4 linked regions of the Saccharomyces cerevisiae S288C genome follow. Changing the gene in region 2 together with the main gene of any one other region gives a genetic interaction. Each region holds a gene or a part of one and is shown on either strand. Other genes may lie near its edges.

Region 1 (4,102 bases), on a different chromosome or scaffold from region 2:
TTTGCTTAGAGTCCTTAAAGCGTTTTTCCGAGATACTGAAGAAATACCTAACGCCAATAAGTAGTCTCTATACAATGGGATATGAAATTGTGTGACCAGTGTCATCAGAGAAATAGGAATACCTGGGAAAATCTTGGAATAGTTACAACCTTCTGTTGCAAACGCTCCAAACGCACCAAGTGCTCCTATGCCGTGTGGATGGTAACCAAATAAGTACGTTGGCCCTGTACATTCCTGGTTGCGATAGTCAATAGTAGAGTTGCTTTTGAGATTAATGGAATACTTAGTTGGCCACAATCTAATCTTGTAATTTTTTTCGTTAACTCTCTTATTTTTTGAAAGCGTAAAAGTTGGTTTTAAATTGACAGTTTTAATCAAACTTATAGGGAAATAATCACAATACCACTTCCAAATGGGCAATGAACGAAATCGAAGAGAGTATCGATTTACCACTTCGCCAGTTGCAGGAGACCTATCGAAAAAAAAATAAATCATATATGGAATAGCAAGAACCCACAGTGCTGGTGTCGAGATTGCAAATAACGTAAATATGGAGAAGAGTACAAATGAAGAAGTGTGCCATGCTACAGCCAGAGTTTGTAACCTTCTTTCAAAAGGGGTCGCCAATGGACAGCATGACTCTAGTTGTGGTTTGAGAGTCTGTTCTCTTTTATCGATGCTTGACAAAGACTTATTCTCATGCCTTTCGGTAATACCGGCTGTAGGGCTTCCTTCTTCCTTCTTCCTTCTTCTTATATCATTGAATGTTCCTGACATTTATGTGACTGTTCAAACTGTATGCCTCTGCGTTTCCTTATGTATATGTAAGTGTATGTGTAAATGGAAATGAGATGATAGTAAACCTCCTTAATGGAACAAACGTGATCTGGGATAAACAGGAAAAAAAAAAAACTTTGGCGGAAGTGTAGTGAAAGATCCAAGCCTGATAGACCACTGTCGTGCTTGGTTAAGTACAGAAATGCGGTGGAAGTACTGGTCTGCTTTGAGGAATAAGTTTCCAAATTCAGTCTTCTCTTTTTCTAGCCTTCCCATTACGTCAATGCTGACTGAATCTATCAATTGAATAAAAAACGCACATCATAAGCCTTTGTCGGCCCGTAACTTAGTTGCCTGCAGAGAACAAAGTACAGAAAAACTTCTTGCTCTGATTACCAGTTACAATAACGACTAACTAATATTTAAATAAAATGTACATCTATCTACTCTTTCAATCTTTCCGTCTTGTTATATATCGAAACCACGGTCTCTTAGTTGATGAACGGTCCAGATCCAAGTCGATGCCGCTTCGTCGACATTGTTAGAAACGTAGCTCGATTTAGATTCTTTACCCCCCGTGGTGAAGTACTTCCCGTTATCTTTTTCGACAGATAAATTCGGGTCCAATGCACACTTCAAAGAAGCTAGTGAACCTTGTTCGTTCGATACGCCGAAAAAGAACCCTACGACCTGGAACAACAGCCAAAAGAAAATACCGACGATGGGTAACCTTGTCCAATAACTGAATAAGTTTGTGTTCATCACCAGACCCGGATGAACGGAGAGACAAAGAACGTCAGGGTATTTGATGGCCAACATCTTCGTGCATTGGATTAGCGCGGTTTTACTCATCGCGTACCTAAACCATGTGAAAAGCATATTAGGTTTGTAATCCCACGTCTTGCTCAGTTTCCAGTACATGAACTCTAGATGATGGCCTATCGAGGACAGGGAAATGATCCTGCCACGACAATGGCGCAGTAAAGGCAATAATCTCATCGTGAAGATGAAGTGCGAAATGTAGTTAGTCTGCAATTGCACTTCAAATCCGTCCTTCGTCATTTCTAAGGGCACCGCCATAATCCCTGCATTGTTAACAAGCACGTCTATGTGGTCTTCCAGCTTGAGAATTTTAAGTGCCGCTCTCTCCACACATTTTAAGTCTGTCAAATCCAAATGGATATAGTGCAGTGACCCTAGACGCTGAATGCTTGGACCTGGGCCCGCGCCTGGGCTTGAACCGTCGTCATCTTCATGGCACCTCTTCTTTGCTTCTGCCAGTATCTCCTGGATTGCTTTCGAAATCTTGTGAGAGTTTCTCCCACAAATATAAACGACAAACCCATGCAAATACAAATGCAAGACAGTATACCACCCAATACCCGTATTTCCGCCTGTTACTACAGCAATCTTCCTCTCCACAGCCGGGTCGTAGTATGGCAATATTCGTGGGTCTAACATTCTGCCTTTGGCGTATGTCTCGTACTGCGGATGCCTCTAATACCAATCAGGCCTACAACCATTGTCTTCCCCGTTTCTACAAAGACAATAGTGTGTGTGCATTGTAAGTGATGCATCATGCACCATAATGATTTGTTTATATATACCCATGTACACTTGGGTCTCATTTCCTCAATTTTTTCATATCTTACCCGCATATCTTTTCTTTCAATGCCCTACTTCTATACTTCAGGGTTTTCCAAAAAAAAACAGTGATTAAGCAGGGCGGCATTTTCTTTATCTTGGGGCTTAGAAGACGCGAAAGACCTGTGGCTCAATACCTTTTTCGGAATATGTCAACAACACGAAACGCCAAAATTCTTGGCCCTGATTCAGGTACCGCGGGGGCCACGAATTTTGGCGTTCTGTGCAGGAATGACGTCTCTGCCGATTATGAAACTAAACAAGGTATGCTATCGGAGGTGGTCTGAGTTACTCGACAGATTTTTCTGACGAGAGTGAGTGTCGTTCGAGATATTTAAGCTCCAAAATATTTCCCTCACCTAGCTTACATTTTGGTTTATTCTTTCTTACCTCTACCTTTCTAAGTTTTTCTCTTCTGCTTCCTTTTCTTTTCACTTGGCATATTTTATCTATAAAAAAGTTTTGCAAGCGTTTAAGCAACTAGTTTAGCACAACATCCAACCAAGAGGTTTCTCGCGTATTTCTCTCATTTTTTTACCCATTTTACAAATTTTTTTTGCTATTTGAGCCATAGTACCCATTAATAGGTCTCGTCCATTCCCTTGTTTTTTTTTTATTGTTTCAATTACACTACATAATTAAAAATCACATCACTTTCACTCTCACCTTAGTCGTTCTTTATCAACCAAAAATAAAAAAATGCTTCAATCCGTTGTCTTTTTCGCTCTTTTAACCTTCGCAAGTTCTGTGTCAGCGATTTATTCAAACAATACTGTTTCTACAACTACCACTTTAGCGCCCAGCTACTCCTTGGTGCCCCAAGAGACTACCATATCGTACGCCGACGACACCACTACCTTTTTTGTCACCTCAACGGTCTACTCCACGAGCTGGTTCACCTCAACTTCAGCCACCATTACCAATGCGGCCTCCTCCTCCTTGTCCACCTCTTCGGCCTCTGGATCTGTAACCCCAGAATCCACCCATGAAATTACCTCCACCTCGACTATCACGTCCACTTTGCTGCTAACCCTTCATGACTCCACTACTTTGTCTCCATCATCTACTGCAGCAAGTGTCAGTGACGAAGATTCAAACAACAAAGATGCAAAGGTCAAGTCCTTTGAACAGGCTTCAACTTCCAATGGTTGCGTCCCAATCACAAAGTTTGTCACTGTCACCAATGAGCCCGTTACCCAGTACGTTACAGTCACCCCAAATACGACTACACAATACGTTACTGTCACCGGTGCACCTTCTGTTACCACTACCTCTCCAGGTAACGTACAATGGTACAACACCACTTCGATTACTAATTCGACCAGTTGGTGAATTATGAGTTCAAACGTGTCCTTTTAAGTTCTTTTTGTTTCTTTTTTGTATCTGTATTGACAATTTCACCTTCTGTAACTCTATCCTTCTGCTACCTAAATACATCAGTTTAAGTTCCAACTGGTATTTATTTTTCACTATCATTTTTCTCTCGTTTATATATATATACATGGACATTTGTTTGTTAATAGAAAAAAAAAAATAAAATAAAAAGACACTTCACCTAATTTGCTTTATTTTCTAAGTGCAGCTATAAATCATTTTCTTTGCTCACAAATGATTGAGGTGTTGTGCTTATACTTGCACCCGTTAGAGAGTTACAGTTTATTATGCTTATTTAATTTATTTG
Region 2 (5,780 bases):
CACCCAGTTTTTTTTCAGATTGATTATACAGCTGGAAATTATTTTTGGGTACTGTTCAATGTGTTTGTCGTTTAGAAACTCGATCAACCGAAGTCTTAATGTTATGTTCGGTAAAAAATCTTGCACAAAATAATTCAGTATGGAATGCCTCAACAACACAAACGTCCTCACGAGGGCAACTTCACCAATTCGCCTTCTCTTAGCTTTTGCAGCATTTGTTGTGATCTCCCTAATACACCATCGAAATCTATAGATGAGTAAGTCGTGTAAGTCTTGAGGCGTTATAAAATTCCTATAAATAAGGAAAAAATCTGCAGATGCGTTGTAGTCTACACCTTCCAAAGGGGAAGAAAGGTGTACAATTAACGCGGGCAGGTCTGCACTATTCACTGGTTTGGATACACAATCGCTTTCATAGCTAATAACATTTGAGGATGGAGTCGGGTAGTAATCTTTCTGGCTAAATATTTCCATGGTTCAGGGTAGCGAATCTTTGAATGGCTAGAGGCTATGTAAAGCAAACAAAAAGGTTCGCGTAAATCAACGAGCGAATAACACGAGTACGGTTGGGGTGGGCTAAAGGGTTCAAGAAATTATCAGTTTCTGTTTACAGTTTTTTTTTCATTGTTGATAAAAAGATCAAGAATTTCATTATTCGCGAAAATCAAAATGCAGAAAGGAAAAAATAGAAGGGTAATAAAACAGCATCGGATCGCAAAGATGAGTAAGGAGAACAGCCTGGTTAACAATTAAAGAGTGTTTATCGAAATTCATTATATAGTGGTTTATATAGACCACTTCTTCTGCTGGTTGATATAGAAATTTTATTTAATTCTTGTTTTTTACTTATGTACTTACTACGATGATCTTAATTCATGCTTCTTGCTTGTCGGCAATGTCCCAAGTGGAAAACCAGTTTAAGTAGCGGAAGTTACTACTTGGTCCCTCCATACCAAATGATATTGGGGAGAAGTACCAGAAGCAACCAATTACAAGTGCCATGAATCCGGCGTATAGGACGAACCGCATGATACGGCCGCACTTAGATCTGGACCATTTTTGCAAACCGGCGTCGAAACAGTACGCCAAAATGATCAGTGCAAAATACAAGGCAGGCAAGTAATGATGAACGTAGGTGACTCTAGACATGATAACGAATGGCATGTAGTGTAGGCCCCAAGCTAGTAGTGGGTAGAACCCGCCCATTAAGAAAACGTTCCAGTTAGATGGATTTCTTAGGTCCACATATTGTCTTTGCCATCTGATCAGTAAGATAACGACCGTGGCCATGAATGCGAGGACGGCAACACTAGAAGCCCACGTGGAAGCTGGGGTACCCAATAGGAAGTATTTTGGATTATCATCACCCCAGCCACATAGTCTCAAACCCACATTCAAAGTTGGCCATTGCCATGCTGAGGAAGCTAAGTAATCAAATTTGTCTGGATCTGGCACCAAAGCGTTATTAGTGGCCATCATGGCTAGATTTAAATGAATGAAGTCTTTTAAGAAGTTGGTCTTTGGGTATTGAAAATCTTCGGGTCTTGGTGGCAACCTTTCATTTTCGTGGGTCTCGATGTTCCACCAGGTCCTCTTGTCCCTCTTGAATGGGTTTTTCATGCAGACAACCTCTTGTTGTCTGAAACCCCATTCGGGCAAACTGTTACCGGTTTGAGCCAAGTAACAGCCCATCTCCAAGTTCTTGATACGGAAAGAGGTGGTCAATGTGTGCAACTTCTCAGGGTCTTCATCTCCTCTTTGGTCCATGATCTCAATAACCCAATTGTCTTTGTTGTCACCAACAACATTGTCACCGTAACCAGAAACCTCCCATTGTGTCTTTGACACTGGTGCAGCAACTGGGTGGGTGTGCAAGTTTCTGCCCGTGCTTTTGTGTACCAATCTATAGGAGGTACCTGGCTTCAAATACTCGATGTCAGTTTCGTTTTCTGACCATGATGGTAAGCCTCTTTCTCTGTTGAAAAACCATTCGTTGTTAGCATCTTTGTAACCATAACAGGTTACTTGTTGTTGGTTGGACCCATCTGGATAAGTTTGTATATGTGAGTGCAATAGAGATCCTCCAAGAGCTTGGTTTTTGATGGAAACAACGGAGGAACCTAGAGCAATGTCACGGGGGCCTTGTCCGACGTCAGAACCCACTAATCTTGCTTGGAAAAGAGATGGCATGTTAGCATCACCTGTACCAGAATGCGATAATAGGTCAAAATGTATTTTGAAGCACAATAGGAAAATGCAGAAGGGGACGATAATAAGACCAAATATTCTTGCCAACCAGTGGTTAATATAGGTTTTCCATGACATGGATTTATCTGCCAAAAAGGTCCATAAGTCAATCACAGTATAGATACCGACCATAGTGATGATAAATAGACCCACCATTTTGACGGAAATAGTGCAACCCAAAGAAATACCAGTGATCAACAGCCATTTCCACCACTTTCTAGAGAACGGCTTGGACCTCTGGTTGTGGAACATAACAAAACTAAAGAACGATGCGACAGTGAAGAAAAGTAGCATGGAGTCCAAAAGAATGAACCTGCCCAAAGTACTATACGAGTTTTCAAACAAAACCAACACGGTCATCAGCCAAACTGTTGGTAAAGAAAATCCAATAGCTTTGGCAGTGAAGTAGGCCAATGGCACACAGAGCGCGGAAAATGACGCGTTGAACAGTCTCATTTTAACATAATCCAAATAGTCTGGGTAAATTTCCCCAGAAGGGAAGTCCCAAGAACCGTTGTAGCCTGCCAAATAACCAGACAACCCGACCAGCATTTTTCCTAGGGGAGGATGGACATCGTGGTAAAATTCGTGTCTCAAGTAATAAGAACCAAATTTACCAAAGTGCGCCTCATCCCAAACAACATGGTTGTTGATGCCGATTTTGTACATCCTGGTAAACAACGCCAATGCAGTAAAGATCACCGGCATTACAACGGATTCCAGGCGTAACAGTGAGCTTTGTGCAGCGGGCTTTTCCTTCGAGAAATCTTCCGCGTCTCTCTCATCAGCGCTCGAAAGTTCCTCACTGACGCTGATGGAAGACGATTCTCTTTGTCTCAGTGTATTCTCTTGCTTAATGTGGGCGGCATTGTTTTTGCTGTACCCGGTAGACGAAGACGAGGACATGATTGCTGGACCACGGTTCGAAACAGAATGACAGTAGCGATGTGGACTAAGCCGGTTCTCCTTGGTAATGTTGTTAGTCTCGAGAAATGACCTTTTTTTTACCCTCAAAAAGAATGCAACACTATTAATAAACAGTACACGAAACGGATCTTTCCGTAAGTTCTTTCGTTCTTTTTTTTCGTATTCTTTTCTTATGTTTTTTTTTTTCAGGGCGACGTGTCCAATAATATGTATGTTTGTCGCTATGTACGAGATATTATTGCTAAGTGACAGTAAATCGTATCACGACTGTAAATGATGGCGTTTCGGTATGTACAGTATCTATCTACCTGATAATAAAGTCAATTATGAAGACGAATACGTAGCTTATGATGCTGCCCAGAGCTAGTCCTGTAGAAACGAAAATATTAGTGAATCCACCGGCCGCTTCCTTCTCGTCGTCGTTGTCCAGTTGCTCTGGCACCTTCATGAAACTCATAGAGATGACGTGCCCGTTGGTTACGCCGAAAAGGAACTGCAGTAGCATGTAACACAAGTCAACGATTACGGAGCCATTGTGCTCTTCATCGCCGCTTGAAGAGGAGGTGATGGCTGTGAACATCAAGAACAGTGGTATTGCGGCCACCCGCAACAATGAGTAGATGAAGGTTTTGCGTGGCGTAAATTTCTGGTCACGGAACATGGGCCAGTCGGCAATGACTCTTCCGTAAAGGTCGCCTAGGTTCCACAGCGTGAATATGAGAGGTATGTACTGTGCGTTGCTTAAAGGAAGCCCTGTCACGTAGGTGGCAGACGCAAATACAGGAAAAACAAGAGTTACGACAAACGTGGTGAATATGGAAAGAACCAGGTACTTTAGTTTGGCAAATAAGACCTCGAAAGGCACTTTTAGTTGGAGTTCCTCACCTTCGTCGTTGTCGTCGCGAGTGCCGTTGGTGCGGCGGTGGTCTTCATCCTCCATTTGGTCAATGCGGCCAACAATACGGATTTCCTCCTCATTGGAGCGCAGAGACCCTAACAACACATCAGTGATATGTCCGTCTTCCACATTCCAATTCTCGTTCACTTTCCGACTGATTTTGCTCACGCTGAACATGACCACACAAATGGTGACCACGAGTGTTGTGGTAAAAAAGTATAGAAGAATCCCGCCCGTAGTAGACACAGAAGAGTTCTCGATGAAAGCTAGGGCAAAAAGCACTAGGGAGGGCAGGACACCAGCAACGGCTTGCCCCACCATGACACCTTGACTGTACTCGGAACCGAAGACGTTGGCTATGGCCATGATACCATTCTGTGTCATGGCTGTCCCCATGGAACTGATCACTACAAGCATCATTATAAACATGAAATTGAACCATTTAGGTAAAAGGAAATGCAAAATTGTAAAGAAGCACATGACAGTAAAGACAATAATCTCCCACACAAGCCCGTTTATGACCCTTCTCGAGTATTTGTACTGTCTTTTGGCCAAGTAGATGTTGAACAGCATTGACGATATGGTAGAAAAGGACATCATAGAGCTTGTGAAGATCTTTGCCCAAATGGAGGTGTCTTTGAAAATATCGTGCTTAAAATATTGCGAGGCACTGAGGATACAGTTCCACGGCCATAAAAGACCTATTCCTATGGCGAAAAATGTAATATATGAAAGATTTTTCAACTTTTTTCTTAACGGCAATGTATCCAGTGGTTCGGTTGACACAGATTGCTCTCTTTCAGAATAATTATCGCCTTCTTCATCTGAGTGCTCGTTGTTCTCTGATTCATGTTCTTCTCCAGAGCGTGATATCTCCTCTGAATGCGTATCGGCCAGTGCAGGCTCTGGCACCGCAAGGATTGGCTTCTTGATGGTATCAGTGTCCGCACTAGTACTCATTTTTGCAATCTGGTATGCTTTCTTGCGTTTGATGATAAGCTGTCGCCGTAACGTAAATCATTCATCCTTTCCTATGATTTTTTAAGTCAATTTTTTTTTCTTTTTCGGGAAATTAATTCTGTTTTTGGCATTAATAACAACAAGAAGAATTAAGGATTCGTTATAGAATACAAGATTCTTGGTTTGGTTAAATAATTTTGGCTCTCTTAAATATTATAAAAAGATACTTAAGTAAGAAAGAAACAGGACGAAAAAGATACGCAAAAGAGAGAGAGAGAGAGAGAGAAAAAAAAGATGAGAAAAAAAAGTATAACGTGAAGGCTTTATGGGAAGTGCGGTGAGATTGGGATCGTTTCAATTTTATAATGAGGTAGTGTACAGAGAGGAGGGAGGGAGTGGGATGAAAGTGTGCGGTTTATACTTTCTTACTGCCTGTGTTTGTCTTCATAAATTCAAATCTTGCTAACAATGGTATATGGTCACTGGGGAATTTGTCGTTGGGGAACCCGATAAACTTACTCACGTATTCAGGGTCCACTTCACCCAATAGCCCACGCACCCTTAGAGCATGTGTAGAAAACCATATATAGTCGATAACATCTGTGAATGACGGTGTGAAATTGGTGAATGGTAGTTCTCCGATACAATTATAACTTGATTTGAGAGCCAAGTTATGTGAGAAATTTTTCTCCGACATGTAACCGAAATCTCTACCATTTCCCTCTTGATGTATTTGGACACGGCCTGT
Region 3 (6,004 bases), on a different chromosome or scaffold from region 2:
TATAACCCTATTCTAAACTACGGTGAAGAAAGATTTATTCAGGACGCTGCCAAGGCTGGTGCTAATGGTTTTATCATCGTCGATTTGCCACCAGAGGAGGCGTTGAAGGTCAGAAACTACATCAATGATAATGGTTTGAGCCTGATCCCACTAGTGGCTCCTTCTACCACCGACGAAAGATTGGAATTACTATCGCATATTGCCGATTCGTTTGTCTACGTTGTGTCTAGAATGGGTACTACTGGTGTTCAAAGTTCTGTGGCCAGTGATTTGGATGAACTCATCTCTAGAGTCAGAAAGTACACCAAGGATACTCCTTTGGCCGTTGGGTTTGGTGTCTCTACCAGAGAACATTTCCAATCAGTTGGTAGTGTTGCTGACGGTGTAGTGATTGGTTCCAAAATCGTCACATTATGTGGAGATGCTCCAGAGGGCAAAAGGTACGACGTTGCTAAGGAATATGTACAGGGAATTCTAAATGGTGCTAAGCATAAGGTTCTGTCCAAGGACGAATTCTTTGCCTTTCAAAAAGAGTCCTTGAAGTCCGCAAACGTTAAGAAGGAAATACTGGACGAATTTGATGAAAATCACAAGCACCCAATTAGATTTGGGGACTTTGGTGGTCAGTATGTCCCAGAAGCTCTTCATGCATGTCTAAGAGAGTTGGAAAAGGGTTTTGATGAAGCTGTCGCCGATCCCACATTCTGGGAAGACTTCAAATCCTTGTATTCTTATATTGGCCGTCCTTCTTCACTACACAAAGCTGAGAGATTAACTGAGCATTGTCAAGGTGCTCAAATCTGGTTGAAGAGAGAAGATCTTAACCACACGGGATCTCACAAGATCAACAATGCTTTAGCACAAGTTCTTCTAGCTAAAAGATTAGGCAAGAAGAACGTTATTGCTGAAACCGGTGCTGGTCAACACGGTGTTGCCACTGCCACTGCATGTGCTAAATTTGGCTTAACCTGTACTGTGTTCATGGGTGCAGAAGATGTTCGTCGCCAAGCTTTAAACGTCTTCAGAATGAGAATTCTCGGTGCTAAAGTAATTGCTGTTACTAATGGTACAAAGACTCTAAGAGACGCTACTTCAGAGGCATTCAGATTTTGGGTTACTAACTTGAAAACTACTTACTACGTCGTCGGTTCTGCCATTGGTCCTCACCCATATCCAACTTTGGTTAGAACTTTCCAAAGTGTCATTGGTAAAGAAACCAAGGAACAGTTTGCTGCCATGAACAATGGTAAATTACCTGACGCAGTTGTTGCATGTGTTGGGGGTGGTTCCAACTCTACAGGTATGTTTTCACCATTCGAGCATGATACTTCCGTTAAGTTATTGGGTGTGGAAGCCGGTGGTGATGGTGTAGATACAAAGTTCCACTCTGCTACTCTAACTGCCGGTAGACCTGGTGTCTTCCATGGTGTCAAGACTTATGTCTTGCAAGATAGTGATGGTCAAGTCCATGATACTCATTCTGTTTCTGCTGGGTTAGACTACCCAGGTGTCGGTCCAGAATTGGCATATTGGAAATCTACTGGCCGTGCTCAATTCATTGCAGCTACTGACGCTCAGGCTCTGCTTGGCTTTAAATTATTATCTCAATTAGAAGGTATTATTCCCGCTTTGGAATCTTCTCATGCTGTTTATGGCGCTTGCGAATTGGCTAAGACGATGAAGCCTGATCAACATTTGGTTATCAATATTTCTGGTAGAGGTGATAAAGATGTCCAAAGTGTCGCTGAAGTCTTGCCGAAATTAGGTCCAAAGATAGGTTGGGATTTGAGATTCGAAGAAGACCCATCTGCCTAATGAGTAATATCTGATAAGGAACGCTTTTATTTAGCTTTTTAACTACATAGACGAATATAATATACGATCGGGATACATTAGCATATTCAGCTCTTTTACCTCTCAATTTGCTCAAGATTAGTATCGTGACCAATTTTAGATCATTTCGGTCAGAACAGCCACATTTTCGCGTAATTTAAAAGTTCAATTATTGTATGCGTGACACACTATATTAGCGTCAACTGTTAATAAGGAAGTAGTGGATAATAACGGTTCAGGTTGCTTCACAATGCTTATTTCAAAATCTAAGATGTTTAAAACATTTTGGATACTAACCAGCATAGTTCTCCTGGCATCTGCCACCGTTGATATTAGTAAACTACAAGAATTCGAAGAATATCAAAAGTTCACGAATGAATCTTTACTGTGGGCACCGTATAGATCCAATTGTTACTTTGGTATGAGGCCCAGATATGTCCATGAAAGTCCACTAATTATGGGTATCATGTGGTTCAACAGTTTGAGTCAGGATGGCTTACATTCGTTAAGACATTTTGCAACGCCTCAGGATAAATTGCAAAAGTATGGTTGGGAAGTGTATGATCCAAGAATTGGTGGTAAAGAAGTTTTTATTGATGAAAAAAATAACTTGAACTTGACTGTTTATTTTGTAAAGAGCAAGAACGGGGAAAATTGGTCAGTGAGAGTTCAAGGTGAGCCTTTGGATCCCAAGAGACCATCTACAGCATCTGTCGTATTGTACTTTAGTCAAAATGGTGGCGAGATAGATGGAAAATCTTCCTTAGCAATGATAGGTCATGACGGCCCTAATGACATGAAATTCTTCGGATATTCTAAAGAATTAGGCGAGTATCATCTTACAGTAAAGGACAATTTTGGTCACTACTTCAAAAATCCGGAATATGAAACCATGGAAGTAGCACCAGGAAGTGACTGCTCTAAAACAAGTCATTTATCACTTCAAATCCCGGATAAAGAAGTTTGGAAGGCTCGTGATGTTTTCCAATCTCTAGTTAGCGATTCGATACGTGATATACTGGAAAAGGAAGAGACAAAGCAGCGTCCTGCTGATTTAATACCAAGTGTTTTAACTATTAGAAATTTGTACAATTTTAATCCTGGTAATTTTCATTATATACAAAAGACATTTGATTTGACCAAAAAAGATGGGTTCCAATTTGATATCACTTACAATAAACTTGGCACTACTCAAAGTATTTCCACCAGGGAACAAGTTACGGAGTTGATTACTTGGTCACTAAATGAGATAAACGCGCGTTTTGATAAGCAGTTTAGTTTTGGAGAAGGTCCCGACTCAATTGAAAGCGTGGAGGTCAAAAGAAGATTTGCTTTAGAGACGCTATCAAACCTATTAGGAGGAATCGGTTATTTCTATGGGAATCAACTAATTGATCGTGAAACAGAATTTGATGAGAGCCAGTTTACAGAGATCAAACTGCTGAATGCAAAAGAGGAAGGTCCATTTGAACTGTTTACCAGCGTTCCGAGCCGTGGCTTTTTCCCACGTGGATTCTATTGGGATGAAGGTTTCCATCTTCTACAAATTATGGAGTATGATTTTGACCTTGCCTTTGAAATCTTAGCGAGCTGGTTTGAAATGATCGAAGATGATAGTGGTTGGATTGCTAGAGAAATTATACTGGGTAATGAGGCAAGGAGTAAAGTTCCGCAGGAATTTCAGGTGCAAAATCCCAATATTGCTAATCCGCCAACTTTATTGCTAGCATTTAGTGAAATGCTTTCTAGGGCCATTGAAAACATCGGCGATTTCAACAGTGACAGCTACCACCAAGTCATGTTCAATAGTAGGACAGCCAAGTTTATGACGAACAATCTAGAAGCCAATCCTGGCTTGCTAACCGAATATGCCAAGAAAATTTATCCTAAGCTATTGAAGCACTATAATTGGTTCAGAAAATCTCAAACAGGACTTATTGATGAATATGAGGAAATATTGGAAGATGAAGGAATATGGGATAAGATTCATAAGAACGAAGTTTATAGATGGGTTGGGCGTACCTTCACTCATTGTTTGCCAAGCGGTATGGATGACTATCCTAGAGCACAACCACCAGATGTAGCAGAATTGAACGTAGACGCATTAGCATGGGTGGGCGTTATGACAAGATCCATGAAGCAAATTGCTCACGTGTTGAAGTTAACACAGGACGAGCAAAGATATGCACAAATTGAGCAAGAGGTGGTCGAGAATCTGGATTTGTTACACTGGAGTGAAAATGACAATTGCTACTGTGATATTAGCATCGATCCAGAAGACGATGAGATTAGGGAGTTTGTATGTCATGAGGGTTACGTCTCCGTATTGCCCTTTGCATTGAAGCTAATCCCCAAAAACTCACCCAAGCTAGAGAAAGTAGTTGCTTTGATGAGTGACCCAGAAAAAATCTTTTCAGACTACGGGCTGTTATCACTATCGAGACAAGACGACTATTTCGGCAAGGATGAAAACTATTGGAGAGGCCCAATTTGGATGAATATTAATTACTTGTGTCTTGACGCAATGAGATACTACTACCCAGAGGTGATTCTCGACGTGGCTGGTGAGGCTAGCAATGCCAAGAAACTGTACCAAAGTTTAAAGATTAATCTCAGTAACAACATATACAAAGTTTGGGAAGAACAAGGTTATTGTTATGAAAATTACAGTCCGATAGATGGTCATGGTACTGGTGCTGAGCATTTCACAGGCTGGACAGCACTTGTTGTCAACATCCTTGGACGCTTCTGAATCTATGTAGATATTTTCAGTCATATAAACAGATATGTAACCAGATATGTACCAGTATGCAGGATGAAAATTATAAATGTTCCAGCTATTCGAAAAGGGCCTCGCATCTCTTAGTTAGAGCCAGCATTTTCAGCTTTTTTTTTCTCGCGTTTATTTACATTTCGATGCGGCTGTGAGAAAAAGTTAAAAAATCGTGGAAACCAGCAACTGGTAACTAGCAGTCTGGGCCATTGCAGCTAAAAGCCAGACAAATAAACAATCGAAAACACACTCGAAACATGCATTATGAAATGTCACATTTTTTTTTTTCTTTTGGGGATTAATGGTTGCGAAGTGAGGTCTTTTCTATTTACTGCGGTAAGATGAATAAAAGTTAGGGAATGTTATTGTTTACAAGCTGGATACTAGATCTCAAAATGTTAAAGTGTAAGGACTGACAACAAAATATGCTGCACCGAAAACAAATTAAGAATCTGAGGAGGGACTATTTAAGTGGAAAGAAAATTGAAGTTCAATGATCGTGTTTTCCTTCTGCTTATCCAAATACACTGTTATATATTAAGGCAACAGTACTATAATCGTCAGTTACGCAACAAAGACAGTCCACTCTTTTAGAAGAATAAGCCTTTACTGACATACCTCCACTGTAATAAATCTATTCTATTCTCTGTACTGTTTATCGACTTATTATTACGCTACACTCATTGATATAATATCTAATAGAAAACCATCATGATTTCACCCATAAGCTTTCTATCATCGCTGCTATGCTTAACTTATCTAACCTCAGCTTTACCGATTCTTCCTAAGAGAGAAGTTGTAACGAGAGTTCACACAGCAAGCACAACTAATGTTGTGACTGATTTTTACTCCACTACTACCGAAGTTGTTATTGCCCCAACTGTCGAATTCCTAATAAGCGATAGTGTTACCTTTACAACAACCTTAATTCCACAAGGTGTGAACCCAACAGCTGAACCAACTACGACTATCACTAAAGTTCTCTTAAAAAAGGCTGAAATGAGTACATCTTCGCAGCCAACCTCTACTTTGCAGCCAAGCACTATTCCACAATCAACCTCCTCTTTTCAAGCAGAATCTACTTTGCAAGCCGTCTCTACGCAACAAACTGCTATGTCTGTTTCTGCAGGTACTAGTGAGGATGTGCAACAATTAGCTACTACTTCTACCTCTATCTCCTCCTCTCCTTCCCCTACCACTACGTCTACTTCCACACAAAATATCGTGAGTGGTGTCGGTGAAGCCAATGTTGAAGGCAACACTCAAAGTCAGCATCATTCTTACCAAGCAGCTGCGACTTCAACTTTGAATCAACAAACGAGTACCTCAATTGCTTCTCAGGAGTCCACCGAATCAACCAATACACCTACGTCGTCCTCTACGTCGTCCTCTACTTCT
Region 4 (6,270 bases), on a different chromosome or scaffold from region 2:
AAATTAGTGTGTGTGCATTATATATATTAAAAATTAAGAATTAGACTAAATAAAGTGTTTCTAAAAAAATATTAAAGTTGAAATGTGCGTGTTGTGAATTGTGCTCTATTAGAATAATTATGACTTGTGTGCGTTTCATATTTTAAAATAGGAAATAACCAAGAAAGAAAAAGTACCATCCAGAGAAACCAATTATATCAAATCAAATAAAACAACCAGCTTCGGTGTGTGTGTGTGTGTGAAGCTAAGAGTTGATGCCATTTAATCTAAAAATTTTAAGGTGTGTGTGTGGATAAAATATTAGAATGACAATTCGAGATGAAATTTTAAGCAAACTCTAGTAGGAAATAAGCGGCTTATTCTTGTTGGCTCCTAATTCTTTTTAGTGTATCAGTTCCCATTGATAAAAAAATTAAAATTAAAATTAGAAAAATTAAACCAGAAAAATCAAGTTGATTAAAATGTGACAAAAATTATGATTAAATGCTACTTCAACAGGATTAGGTTTCCTTTTCGTGTTGAGTAGAGACTCTTTGCATAGCAGCCATGAAGTCTTCGACACTTCTGGTAGACTTCTTTTCCTTCATTGGCTTACCGTTCATCAATCTGTCAAAGGCTTCAGAAGTGGACATTTCGTAGTAGAAACCACCCAAAACACAGAAGATACCGATAGACCAGATCCAGACACGGACGACAGTAACAATATCAGTCCAGTTTTCAGACCACCAACCGAATAAGGTAAACATGGTAGCGATGATGTCGACAGCGAAGACGGCACCAGCCAATTGCCAGGATGGGATAGAAGACCAGAATGGACCAGCAGCTCTGGTAATGAAAATCAACCAGTTTTCAGTCAAGGAAATTTGCAAGAACATAATACCGTTCATAGCACCGAAGTTTTGGATAATACCACCCTTTGGTAAGAACATAGTAGTCAAGGTAATCCAAGAACCTATAGCTAAAACTATGCCCAAAATAATAGACATACCCCATAATCTTGGTAGGTTCCATTTAACGGGCTTTGGAGAGTAAGGAGCATTATCGTAAGCAATAGCCAAAGTAGCAACATCAGCGAAAATAGCGATGAAAACAATCAAATCAATGTCCAAAGAGTTATCCAAAATAGCAATCCATAGACCCAAGAAGATTTCCAAATGTAGAGACAAAGCAATACGGTAAACAACGTAAGAGTACATTCTGTGAAAAATTTGTCTGGAGGTCTTCAAAGCATCAATAATAGCAGATAGACCAGGAGCCAAGAAAACAATATCAGCAGCAGATCTGGCAGCATCAGTAGCACCTTCGACAGCAATACCAGTATCAGCCTTCTTCAAAGATGGAGCATCGTTAACACCATCACCAGTCATAGCAACCAAGTAACCTCTGTTTTGCAAGATTTCAACAACTCTGTATTTATGTTGTGGGAAAACTTCAGCGAAACCATCGGCATTTTCAACAAAATCAGCTAATTCAGAACCTGGCATGTCACCACCGCCACCTAGACCTAATCTTTCAGCGTTGTAAATGTTGGTACCCAAACCCAATTGTCTACAAGTTTCCTTAGCAATACCAACAGCATCACCAGTTAACATCTTAACTCTTAGACCCAAGTGTCTAGCTTCGCTAACAGTTTGAGCAGTATCGTCTCTTGGTGGATCCATACATGGCATAACACCCAAGATTTCCCAGTGACCTTCACCTCTCTTTCTAGCAACACCTAAAGCACGGAACCCTCTAGAAGCCAATTCAGCAACCTTGTTTTCGTAGTTTTCATGGACATCTTCTGGGATTGGGTGATCTTCTTCGACAGTCTTCAAGACGAATAATGGAGCACCCTTAACACAAACAATTCTTTCACCTTCTGGAGATTCGACAACGGCAGTAACCTTCTTGGAGACAGGGTCAAATGGATGGAATTCCAAAACCTTGTACTTGGTCAAAGCGTCCTTAGCCTTTGGATATTGCTTCAAAGACTTCAAGAAAGCCTTATCAATAGCATCCAAACCCTTCTTCTTTCTGGAAGCAGCCAAACAAGCAGTCAACATCAAGTCGTCTGGAGAAACACCTTCAACAGTGTATGGTTCGTGCAAGGACAACTTGTTCTTGGTCAAAGTACCGGTTTTGTCGGAACACAAGATTTCGACACCAGCCAAGGATTCAATAGCAGACAACTTTTGAACAATGGCTTGTTTCTTAGCCAAGTAAGCAGCACCGACGGCCATAGTGGTGGTAACGACAGCTGGCAAACCGACTGGGACACCAATAATAGTAATACCTAGAGTGTATCTCAAGATTCTAACAATACCGTTGGTTCTGTAGAAACAAGCAGTCCAGACCAACAACAAAGTGGCAATGACCAAAACCAATAAGATAATACCAATACCGTTCAAAACTTCAGTGAAATGACCTTGACCACCAGCGGCTTTGTTAACCAAAGCAGCAGCTCTACCAACGAAAGTGTTGTCACCGGTAGCGGTAACAACCATGAAACCTTCACCTCTCTTAACAGTGGAAGAAGAGAAAGTTTGGTCACCGTAATGTTTGTCGACAGCCAAAGATTCACCAGTAATAGCAGATTGATCGATTTGCAAGAAACAGTCTTCAGTGACAATACGACCATCAGTTGGGATAACAGTACCATCTTCCAATTGCAAAATATCACCTGGGACGACTTCGTTGGCTGGAATTTCAACCAATTGACCGTCTCTGATAACAACAGCAGTGTTAGCCAAAGTCTTTTTCAATTCATCGACAATAGAACCAGCTTGGAATTCTTGAACGAAACCAACACCAGCGTTTAACATTAACAAACCACAGATAACACCGAAATCGACCCAATCGGACAAACCGGCAGCCAAAATAGCAGCGGCTTCCATAACGAATTGAATTGGACCGACGAAAAACATAACGAACTTAACGACTAAAGATTCTTTTTCGTCAGCCATTTGATTCAAACCGTACTTCTTTCTTCTTTTCAAAACTTCATCGGAAGTTAAACCGTAAGATGGGTCAGTTTGTAAATATTCTTCTGGAACTGGTCTAGCTTCACCGGCGGCAACTGGACCATCGTTATCACTGTCTTCGTCGTCGACACCGTGATTAGATTGTAGTTCTTCGATTAAAGCATCGATATCGTCATCGTCAGAAGATTCAGATGCAGCGTCATCGTAAGTCTTAGCAGGCTTTTCTTGAGTTGGCTGATGAGCTGAAACAGAAGATGCTGAAGAGGATGATGAAGAGGATGATGTATCAGTCATATTGATATTGTTTGATAATTAAATCTTTCTTATCTTCTTATTCTTTTCAATGATTTTCTTTAACTAGCTGGGGTATATTTTTTTTCTTTCTTTTGAATGTGTGTATAAAAGAGAGAAAAAATGGTTATTTTCCAATTAATTAATTATTAACGATTGTTAAAGAAAAAATTTATCAACGAGGTTGATAGAAAAAAAAAGTTTTTGTAGATATAGAAGAAAAAAAGATTTTCACTATTGGTGTTATAGGAAAGAAAGAGAAAAAATTTAAGAGAAATTAGATGTTAGACGATAATGATAGGACATTTGAAAATAATACAATATTTGGCCTTTTTATATAATCGAAACTAATGGAGGGGAGCATAAGCGGTACCCACCATCGACCACGTTTCGTCACCGGTCATAATTGGAATAAACAAAACAAACAAACGAACTAAAGAGTGTGAGAGTAACAATTTCCACAGAGGTAAAAAAAAAAAAAAGGAAAACAGAAACAAAAAAAGCTCATAGTTCTACTATAGCTTCTTCAGACTTTCTGTGAACGAGGGAAAAAGACAACAAAAAAGCAATGGATAAACGGTCTCGAGAGATTTTTCATGATGGAAAAGGAAGGAAAAAAACCCGAAAGGCATATGGATAACATTCTGAAAATGTCTATTCCTGTCAAAAGCATGTCAGAGGTCTCGAGGCCTGGAAGTGCCGCATTAGGAAATACAGATGCAATGCGCGCGAGTTTACGAAATTCTCGCAGGAGTTTCTCCGGCCATGTGCGGCTGGTTCTACGTCTCGTGTATGGGTTTATTTCTGCGGTAATTATCGCCGGATCTCCGCTTCGAGACCGGGTTTGTTTTCAAATTACCGGAAAAGGTCAGGCAAAACAGAGTGATGTATGGGTGATCCCAGCAATGCCTGTTTATGTTTCTCCGTTTCAGGAAGCTTGTTTTGTTTTTTCCCCGTCAGCGATGGTGACGTAAACGACTTTTTGCACTTTAGCAAAGCTGAGTTAATCTCGGAAAATCTCTGTGTCCTTCCTTTTTCTTCTAGCTTCCGTTCCGAGTCTCATCTTCTTTCCCGTGCCGTCGGGTTTAGTAAAGAAATGTAAAGAAAAAATGTCGTATCGTACCCGAGAAATATTTCAATTCTCTTACGTATGCGATAGCAGTTGGAAAGATCTGATTCGTTACGATGACTTGATAAGCGCGGGCTTTTTCGCCCTATACGGCTTGGGCCTGACTAAAATGTGATTCTGTGTTTTACGTATATGCGCGTATATAGAGCAATTGATTGACTTATTACGCAGTTTATCAAGATAAATTCTTTGTTCTTGCTTACGGGAGTGTGGTAAGCATGTATACGCCCGTTTAAAAACCCGATGGAGGCTTTTTCCCCAATTCTCGTACTCCATTGGGCATATGATTTCTTTCTTTTTCCCTTTTTTTTTTTTTCTATTTCCCTAAACTAACAGAACAAGCTTCAAAACAAATGACGGAGAGAAAAACAGTTTTGATTTACCAAATGCGGCAAACTTATTGAGGCTAGACACAGCTCTACCGGATTCGTCCGAGCACTTTTTTGTTTTCTTTTCTATATTTACTACAAACATAACAAAGTTTTGTGCGTCTTCCCTAAAGCAGCTAGGATGAAAATCCTATGCTCTCATCTCGCTGGTTGCCATCTCATCGCATCCAATGCTGTCTGTAATCATTTTATTGGACTTTTCTTTGTTTGCTAATCCCCCTTTTCTTTTTCCCGTTCTTTTCTTGTCCTTGTTTTTCATTTTAACTATATTTCTGAAATTAAGGAAAAATAAGGCAAAAAGTGGGTGGATGCATCTGCGACTTCTCTAGTTTTGCGCCTACTTGGGCGCGCTAATAATAAGGGTTTAGCTTCTTAAAATAAAAATGTCAGTAACAGTTGTACGATAAGGTCTTTACTTTTTTTCTCTCGAGAAATGTCTTTTTCTAATTAATCTCTCTTTTCTGTTGTTGGTTACTGCCTTCCATAGTCCAAGACCATTCGTTATATGGTGCAGTGTAGGATCGAGGAGAATCGGCTCACGGTGCTTATATTATTGCCCGGCTTCAAGTATATTTACATCAGTCTCCATAGTTGTTTTATCTTATTCTTGGCATTGATCTGCTTATTAAACTATTTATCGGTTCTCTCTTCTGGTACAGAACTTAACATGATCTTGTTTTCACTATTGTGCCATAAGCTGAAAAGGCTAAAATAAAATTAAGATAGTAAAGTTCACTCTTAAACTAATCAAGCATGAATAATACAAAATAAATATTTGAGCCAAAGGGGATGATTTAATTATCAAGTTTTTCTTTTCATACTTCGGTTTACAAGCATTGTTTACGGCTCTTCTTTTCTTAGTTCTTGGCAGTTTGTGTTTTCTTGATGAGAATAAGAAAAGTATCGATCTTACGGCAAAACATAAATAAAACACAACTTTATCTTTTTTTGTCGCAGTAGTGTGGTCCTACAGCTCCAAGCCTGCCGCTTTTAAAATAGTGAGCTGTGCATACTGATATATGTTCTATTTTACCCATTTGAGGGGCCTAAATTGTCTATTAATTTTTTTACTTTAATACAGTTTGTATAGAAACATGTGGCACTAACAGCTTTATCCGCCCGCAGAAAAGATAAAAAAAAAGGGTTTTTACCCGGCAAAGAAGCTTCTCCATCATTTGTCAGGGGGAAAAGAAAATTAGGAGGCTCAGGCCCTAGAAGCGCCCTCCACGCTTTTTAAACAAATGCTAATCTTCATAATTCATTATCATCGCCACTTGGCATTGCATTTAATGGGCGCCTTCCAAAAACATTCAAATAGTATCAGCCCCCCCCCAAGGAAAGGCTTTATTTGAATTGCGTTAAATATTCGATTTCTTTCTAGCAATTATTACCAAAATAAATTGCAGGCTTAACGAAAAATTAAATAATCTCTTCAGATTTTTTCACTTCCCCAAACTACATTTTAGTCAGGTTGGCACGATTCAATTGAGAAGGCTTA

Evidence for each region.
Region 1: mutations in PMT2 (region 2) and ENV9 together harm fitness more than expected from each alone (negative genetic interaction), as found in Saccharomyces cerevisiae (3 studies listed by BioGRID, with this or other methods).
Region 3: mutations in PMT2 (region 2) and CWH41 together harm fitness more than expected from each alone (negative genetic interaction), as found in Saccharomyces cerevisiae (4 studies listed by BioGRID).
Region 4: mutations in PMT2 (region 2) and PMA1 together harm fitness more than expected from each alone (negative genetic interaction), as found in Saccharomyces cerevisiae (3 studies listed by BioGRID).

The regions. Positions count from the first base shown.
Region 1 is NC_001147.6:794,556-798,657, forward strand, and holds ENV9 (Env9p), read right to left. Parts: upstream 2,239-4,102; coding exon 1,246-2,238; downstream 1-1,245. Other genes in the region: DGA1 (diacylglycerol O-acyltransferase), read right to left, coding at 1-777; SRL1 (Srl1p), read left to right, coding at 3,121-3,753.
Region 2 is NC_001133.9:105,399-111,178, forward strand, and holds PMT2 (dolichyl-phosphate-mannose-protein mannosyltransferase PMT2), read right to left. Parts: upstream 3,154-5,780; coding exon 874-3,153; downstream 1-873. Other genes in the region: mitotic regulator LTE1, read right to left, coding at 1-474; nucleoside transmembrane transporter FUN26, read right to left, coding at 3,479-5,032; CCR4-NOT core exoribonuclease subunit CCR4, read right to left, coding at 5,448-5,780.
Region 3 is NC_001139.9:442,223-448,226, reverse strand, and holds CWH41 (mannosyl-oligosaccharide glucosidase), read left to right. Parts: upstream 1-2,083; coding exon 2,084-4,585; downstream 4,586-6,004. Other genes in the region: tryptophan synthase TRP5, read left to right, coding at 1-1,815; SCW11 (putative glucan endo-1,3-beta-D-glucosidase), read left to right, coding at 5,318-6,004. UniProt on the Saccharomyces cerevisiae protein: Cleaves the distal alpha 1,2-linked glucose residue from the Glc(3)Man(9)GlcNAc(2) oligosaccharide precursor highly specifically. Seems to play a role in beta-1,6-glucan synthesis.
Region 4 is NC_001139.9:479,410-485,679, forward strand, and holds PMA1 (H(+)-exporting P2-type ATPase PMA1), read right to left. Parts: upstream 3,258-6,270; coding exon 501-3,257; downstream 1-500. Other genes in the region: YGL007C-A (uncharacterized protein), read right to left, coding at 3,532-3,618; BRP1 (Brp1p), read left to right, coding at 3,851-4,228; YGL006W-A (uncharacterized protein), read left to right, coding at 6,014-6,124. UniProt on the Saccharomyces cerevisiae protein: The plasma membrane ATPase of plants and fungi is a hydrogen ion pump. The proton gradient it generates drives the active transport of nutrients by H(+)-symport. The resulting external acidification and/or internal alkinization may mediate growth responses.